2 linked regions of the Elephas maximus indicus genome follow. The protein of the gene in region 2 interacts with the protein of the main gene of each other region in a pairwise test. Links are inferred from orthologs where the notes say so. Each region holds a gene or a part of one and is shown on either strand. Other genes may lie near its edges.

Region 1 (3,746 bases), on a different chromosome or scaffold from region 2:
CCCCCGCCGCCCCAACAAGGGAGCCCAGCTCCAGGGAAGCCCGCAGCTTCCTCCATCTTAGTTGCTGGAAGCGGAAGGGGCGTCTGGGTCCCTCCACGGTCGCGCCTGCCCTCCTCGGTCCCTCAGGGGCCGACCCTCAAGGCAGGGGCGGCTCCCCCGGCCTAATGGCGGAGCCCAGGCGGGCTTCTCGGGGCCAGGGGGCTTGGCATTGAACTCGTCCCAAAATAGCACAGCGTCCCGACAAAATGGAGGACGTCGTCTCCTGCTGCACCCACGGTGGTGGGGGGGGACTCTGTCCTACGGGGCGAGGCGAGGGTGGAAGGGCTTCCACTCAGTACCCTGGATTCCACCGCGCCCTCGGCCTCTGCTCCCCACTCGGTCTGGCCCCAGCCCTTCTCTACCGTGCCCCTCGCCCGCTGGGGCTCCAGGGAATGGACCGGGAGGGTGTTCGGGGCACCGAGGCTGGGTCTCTCCTCGGGAAGAGTCGTTCGGGGTCGCTACAGCGGCCTGCGTGCCCAGGCCCGGGCGAGAGAGGAGTGGCCCAGCCTCCGTCTCTCGGGCTGTCCTTGCCTTGGGGAGCCCGCTAGTACACCCGGAGAGCCAGCAGGCGACCAGTGCAAGGAGCCACAGGCATAGCATCCGCCTGATCCAGATGGCTAGCGGGGGTGGGGCACCGCGGGGAGGGTACTGGCGGGGAAGCAAAGAGGCGGCAGGTAGGGAGGGGAATGGAAACGCCAGAGGGTGTGGCCTGTGTCTGATGAACAGCCCTTTGGACAACCTCATCGAGGGGGTCCTGAAGGAAGGCAGATCGAGCCAATTGACGTGCCGGGAGCGCCGCGGCCCGTCTTCTCCCCAGCCAGTGAGGGGGCGGGGGAGAGGAAGGGGCGGGGCCTCCTCGGTCTGCGCTGCGCAGTCGCTGCCGCCGCCTCCTCCTCCACCTCCTTCTCCTCCTCTTTCTTGTTCTGCTTCTCATCAGCGCTAAACCCGGGACTGGACCCAGCGGAGTTGTGCTTGTTACCGAAGGGGGGGGTGGGTCGGGGGAGGGGAGGTTCGTTCCGCGGAGCCGCAGCCACAACCGGGTGAGGCTTGCCCCACTGTCTTCCAGTCCAGGTCCGGTGATAATGAGGGTGGCTGGGAACAGCGCAGCATCCGGAGGAAAAGGCGGATATGGGTGAGGGAAGTCTCCGGAGCCTCCCTCCCACCCAGGATTAATTTCCCGTGGTATGGCCGCCGTCGCCGCTGTCGCGCTGGGGCCTCGGGGGCTCCTCCGGGAGCCACTGATGTCACCAGTGCCTCTCCGGGAGGTCCGAAGGACAGCAAGGCCGAGCCCGGAGGGCTGGGTGAGGCGGTGGTCGCTCGGGGCGGGGTTGGCCCGGGGCTGCGGCCGTCGGGAAGTCGCTGAGGTATTTTTCCTTTCTTTCCTGCTGGGGGAGGCAGGGGAGGGGCGCCTCCGTTCGCGCTTTTGCTCTCTGGGCTGCACTCACAGCCTTTTCCGTAGCCCGCTGCCTCCAAGTTTTTCGGGGCGAAGGCTGCCGCCTCCTCCCTGCCGGGTCCCTCCTTCTCTCTGCTCCTTCGTGGAGCTGCGCGGCTGCTGCTCCTAACGTCTTACTTGGCCGAGTTTCTAATGGCGAACGTGAATCCGTTGCTGATTGCGGGGTAGGGGCGCGAACTGCTCAGGCCCAGGACAACTGCTGGGGGGCACATGTAGGGCGTGTTGGTACAGCGGAGATGGGAACAGCTCCTTACCTCGGAATTGATCCTGAAGTGACGGGATGTTGCTGGGTGGGTAAATTTAGGAGGGAATACAATCCTTTCCTGGGTTTGCCCTTCCCCCTCCTCCAACCTCCCATTAAGTATTTCGCATTGTCAGGTAGTTGTGGTTCTTAATCTTTTTTTTTAAACATAGCTTCTCTACTAAATTGAGCTGGGGGAAGGTAGAAAAGCGCCCAAGCTCCTTGACCTCTTAAACTTTGCCTCCTCCCTCTGGTGGTTAAGAGTTGATGCTGCGTACAGGTTGGGAGTAAGTAAATCATTTTTATTGCTCCTCTCGTTTTAAGACCAGGAACCACCCTCAGCCCTATCCGGTGAAACATTTACAGAAATTAAGAAGGAAAACATTCTCATTGTGAGTCACTTTACCCCGCTTTTCTAGTAGGCTTAGTGCAATAGTTGGATGTTCTTCCTGTGGGATTTGCCTTTCTGTGAAGAGCTAACTGCTTGGGTGGCAGCTGTCCCCAGAGTCAAGGCAGGGTAATTCCTGGGAAGAAAGTGAGAGCAGACGCTGGTATTTACACCACTGATACTCGCTGGAATTCTCAAGTAAGACTTGAAGTTAATTCCTTTTTAAATGTTTTGCCTTTAACATTTTTTTCTTTTCAGTCGATAGAATTAATTTTTTTTTTCTTAGCTGTTGGATTTTTAAAACTCCTGAGTTTTCTGTTGTCTTAAGGTTGAGGAAAAGAGAATCTTTTTCATGTGTTTGCCTTATATTTGAGGAAGGCTCTTATGTACCCTGATATTCCTCCAGCTAGTATGTTTTTTTTTTTTTTTTTTTTTAGTATGTTGGTCAGATCTAATCAGTCAGAGGCTTTCCAAAATGCAGAAAAAAAAAAAGTGCAGGGAGGTTGGTAAATATATTCTCTGGCAGTGCAGTCATTCCTGGACACAATTCTGTACTGTGAAAGAGGATGCAGCAATTTGGGGTGGATAGCAGCTCTTGCCAAAGTAGTGTCAAATAGTCAAAAAAAAATTTTTTTTATTGCAAGCTATTAGATATTTGCTGTTTTGGCTATGACGAGATGACCACTGGAGGATATTTCTGGGACAGGAAATCGTATTAAGTACTTACTAAAAAAGAGTCCCTGGGTACTGCACGCAGTTAACATGCTTGGCTGCTAACCAAAAGGCTGGATGTTTGAGTCCACCCAGAGGCACTTGGGAAGAAAGACCTCCTGATCTATTTATGAAAAATCAGCCATTGAAAACCCCACAGAGCACAGTTCTACTCTGACATATATGGGGGCGACATGAGTGTAATCAATTCCATGACACTGGATTTTTTTCTACGCTGTACAAAGTGTCGGGCATTGATTATTGTAATCGCTGCAAATAAATTGTACATCTGTAAAAAAAAAAAAAGAGTAGCTGCTGAAGCTGCTTATGTACAGCCAAAAACCTCGTGGAATTTGGTTTCTTAGTTTGCAGGTTTAGGGTCATGGTTTCATTGGACATACCCCTTAATGGTTCTGATAACATGTTTAGTGCTTCTGTTCTACCTTCTAATTCATTGAGTAGTGCCGGGGTCCTAAAAGCTTGCAAGTGGCCACCCAAGGCGTGAGAATTGATCTCCGCCTGGAAGGAGCTGCAGAGGAAGGAGAGTCAGGAATAGGAGGAGGGTATGGAATGTGTGGCTAATTGCCTCCATGAACAACTGCCTCCTTTGCCATGAGACCAGAAGAACTAGATGGTGTTCAGGTACCATTACTGAACATTTTGGTCAAAGATTTTATAGAGGAAACCTAGGGAGGAAAATGCAGAACAGCATTTGAAATTCTTATTGTCTCCAGACTTGGAGCCAGGAAGTTTGACTGACTCCCTCAAACTATTGCCCTGAGATAATCTTTAAATCTTAAACCAGAAATATCCCTGACATTTTCTTAAAACGAAGTAGTAGTTTAGCTTAACTAGTAAAAACAATATGTCTGCCTTGAGCATTATGCTCTTTTAAAAGAACTATCTGTATGGGG
Region 2 (3,746 bases):
TTCATTTTGATGAAATTCAATTTATCTATTTTTTTGGTAGCTTGCATTTTTGATGTCACATTTACGAAACTACTGGCTAATCAAGGTAAAGGATATTTACACCTGTGTTTTGTCTTCTAAGCGTTTTACAGTTTTAGCTCGTAAATTTAGGTCTTTGAGTAAATATTTTATATGATGTGAGGTAGAGAAAACTTCATTCTTTAGCATGTGGATATCCAATCGTTCCAGCACCATTTGCTGAAAGACTATTCTTTCACCACTATCTGGGCATTTTTGTAAAAAATAGATTGTAAATATGAGGGTTGATCGATTTACTTCTGGACTCTCGATTCTATTTGTCTAGCCTTATGCCTGTAGTGTCATTGTATTTTTAAAAATTTTTATTGTACTTTAAGTGAAGGTTTACAAATCAAGTCAGTCTCTCACACAAAAACTTATATACACCTTGCTACATAGTGTCATTGTATTTTAGAGATTGTAAAAGGACAACTCTTTAACGCGAAACAAAGTATTCAAGGGTCGGAATTAACCTCCTCTCCTTAGGGACTGAGAACTTTCAGTAGCGTCTTGTTCATTAGTAGCCAAGGTTGTGTCCAATAGGATCTTTTTTTTTTTTTTTTAATCAAGGTTATGTGTTTGGCTGGAGCTAAAAGGGTTAGCTCCTGGGTAAGAAGTACCAGTATTTAATGCAACACACTTAAGAAACATTTACGACGAAGAAGACCGGAGGGGACAAAAGGAAGTTATCAGCTTTTGGCTCAGCCTTTAGAAACGCGCAAGGTGTAAGGTAGGAGTCTGAATTGTCAATGTCGTTCCCATACTGCGGCCGGGGACTTTTCCCCTGTGTATGGGCTCGGGACTGAGGCGCAGGGTCTGGTCCTTGGATGAACTGGCGAGATTTCGGTTAAATCACTCGCGCTTCCATCGGTATGGCCGCTCCCGGGCCCTGCCATCTCCGGGCCGCTCCCCCATCCGTTTTCCCGCCTCGCCATTCCTTCTCCCCCCATTTCCCCTCCCAGCGCGTAGCGGAAGTGACGGAAGGCGTAGCGGAAGTCCCTCCAGCCGCGGTGTTGTGCTGTGGGGAAGAGAGACGGATTTGTAAACCCCGGAGCGAGATTCTGTCTGCCCGAGGTCACTGCTGTGCGGAGACCCCTGGGGTGAAGCCACCGTAACCATGTCTGACCAGGTACCGGGCCGGGAGCCGTCCGACAGCGGCGGCGGGGCCGTAGCCGGCAAGTCCGCCAGGCGCCTGGCTGCGGCCGGGGATGGAGGCGCGGGGGAGGGGAACGGGGAATGGGGGAGGGGGCGGCCGGCCTGGACCCGGACAGCGAGGGAGGGGAGCTGGCGAGGGCCGGCACCGTCGGGGCTTGCCGCCGGCCTCCAGAAGCCGCCCCGCCCCTCTCTGAGCTCGCCCACCGCCCCCAAAGCCTCGGCGCCTCTGGTCACCGCCTCTCTCCCTTCGTCCCTCCTTTTCCTTGGGGTCTGCCAGGTGCAGAGCTCAGCTTCCACCTCCCAGAGAGGGTCCCTGGGGAACCCAGCCGCCTCACTCTCCTGAGGACTGATTGCAGAAGCAGGGCCTTAGGCCTCGGTTATGTAACGGGAGAGAATTCCCTGACTGGGAGGCTCCGTGGCCTTGAAAAGCAGATGGGTTTCACTTTTTGGACGCCGGTCTTTGGAAGGTCCCAGAGTGGGTAGGAGGGTGGAACTCGGGCTGGAAGATGTTGTTTGGTGCTGCTGGGAACTTAGGAAGATGTCTTCTGTTCGGAGGGTTACAGCTAGAGCCGGGCCGCCGCGTCTCTTTGAATCCTTTTTCCGTTTGGGGGTGCAGAGCTGTTGCCTCTTTACTTGTACTTTCCCATTTCTTACTTGGGATTGGTTCAGCAACTCTCCAGTTGTAACAGAGCACTCAGAATAACCAAGAAACAAAGCAGAACAAGAGTACTAGAACAACAGAAACCCCCTGCATCTGGACATTAACCTGGAGATGACTGATACCTCTGAGGAAAGAATAGGAAAACTAAGTGTATGTAGAGCAGTTGCAGAAAGCTGCCCCTATGACGAGGTGCTCCATCTCAATAGTCTTGTTAGATGCTGTCGAGTCGCTTCCGACTCATAACGACCCAGTGTTACTGTCAGGAATTTTCTTGGGATTTGAACCCAATCGGGAGTGATCGATTTTCCCAGCTAAGTTTTTTCCCCCATTCGTTCATCTCGTTAACCACGGTTATGGCTAGTTTTTAATTCACAAGGTTTTTGTCTGGTCTTTGTTTTAGTTGCTCAGAGGACTATGACTTTTTAAAGTATTTTTGGACCGTTTATTTGTTCAGTGACAGTTATAAAAAAATGTTTTTTGTTCAACTCTACAGTTTACTTGAACTTTTAAATTTAACACACGTTCCCTTGGCCTTTAACCAAGTTTTGTATATCTTGGTGAGAGCAAGTTAGGCCTTCGTGGATTTGTACTATTGCATAAAACTTACATTTATGTTTTTAAAAATTAACCATAATCTAAATTAGTTTCGAATGGGTCTAGATTAATTCCCAAGTTGGCTATGGGAATGGCATTATAAGTATTTCCCTAGACAGTTGTTTACTTGGTTGACAGAGAGGAAAGAACAGGTGTAAATGCTTAGTTTCATCAGCCTTTTACTGTGATGCTCAGAAGTGACTAGGATGCATGTTGAAATTTGCTACATAGCCTGAGGAAAGAGTAACACACAGAAAGAATTATAAAATAAATTGTAGAATTTTTTGCCCTGGTTTGAAGTTAGGTCATTTAAGAAAGACATGAAGGAAGAAACAAAGGGCCTACAATACTAACAAAGTGGCCTTGAGATTCTTTTCAGGGGATCTGGAAAGCCCAAACTATTTTCATGATGATGATGGGACTTTTTTTTTTTGCCCTTTTCATTCTCATTCTTTCCGTGGAGTTTCTAGAGGCTACGTGGCCTGTAATATCATAACAGATTGAATATAGAAGCAGATGTGAGAATCCTGCTGCATTCTGTTAAACCCAGAAAGTAAAGAGATTTGCAAAAAAACAGTGCCAAGCTTCCCATGAATTTTGTTTTGAAAAACCAGGGCTTGAGCCCACTTTTCAGACAAGATTAGACAGGCTTATAAAACAAAGAATAACACACGTGACGAATGTACTTCTTAGTTCAGTCGAATGTATGAGACCAAATGGGCAACTCCTGTCCAAAAGCAAGAGAAGAAGGCAGGAAAGGACAGGAACTGAATGAATGGACACAGGGAACCCGGGGTGGAAAGGGGGAGTGTGCTGTCACATTGTGGAGATTGCAACCAGTGTCACAAAACAATGTGTGTATAAATTTTTGAATAAGAGATTAGCTTCAGCTGTAAGCTTTCACCTAAGGCACAATAAAATTAAAAAGAACCCCCGCCCCCCCACCCAGGGCTTCTGAGCTGGATTATTTCGGTTCAAACCCCTTGCCAAGAATGTGCATTTCTACCCAGATATTCTGATTCAGAATCTACATTTTAACGAGATTCCTGGGTTATTCTTATGTATACTAACTTTTGAAAGCCACTGCCCTGCTAGTGGTTCTCAGGATTTGTTTCTAACCAGCAGTATTAGCATCTCCTGGGAATTTATTAACCAAAAAAAAAAAAAAAAAGCTGTTGCGATACACTTGATTCCGAATCACAGTGACCTTATAGGGCAGACTAGAACCGCCCTATAGGGCTTCCAAGGAGTGGCTGGTGGATTTGAACTGCTCACCTTT

What was found. The genes of interacting proteins can lie anywhere in the genome.
Region 1: the proteins of SUMO1 (region 2) and ZMYM5 interact in binary tests that used the Homo sapiens proteins (3 or more experiments, as listed by UniProt). The link is inferred for Elephas maximus indicus from reciprocal best matches to the Homo sapiens genes SUMO1 and ZMYM5.

Annotation. Positions count from the first base shown.
Region 1 is NC_064841.1:49,070,967-49,074,712, reverse strand, and holds the start of ZMYM5 (zinc finger MYM-type protein 5), read left to right. Parts: upstream 1-1,023; 5' UTR 1,024-1,121; coding exon 1,122-1,171; exon of another isoform or gene 1,172-1,728; coding exon of another isoform or gene 1,729-1,782; intron 1,783-1,906; exon of another isoform or gene 1,907-2,000; coding exon of another isoform or gene 2,001-2,020; intron 2,021-3,746. UniProt on the Homo sapiens protein: Functions as a transcriptional regulator.
Region 2 is NC_064824.1:101,097,618-101,101,363, reverse strand, and holds the start of SUMO1 (small ubiquitin-related modifier 1), read left to right. Parts: upstream 1-1,030; 5' UTR 1,031-1,174; coding exon 1,175-1,186; intron 1,187-3,746. UniProt on the Homo sapiens protein: Ubiquitin-like protein that can be covalently attached to proteins as a monomer or a lysine-linked polymer.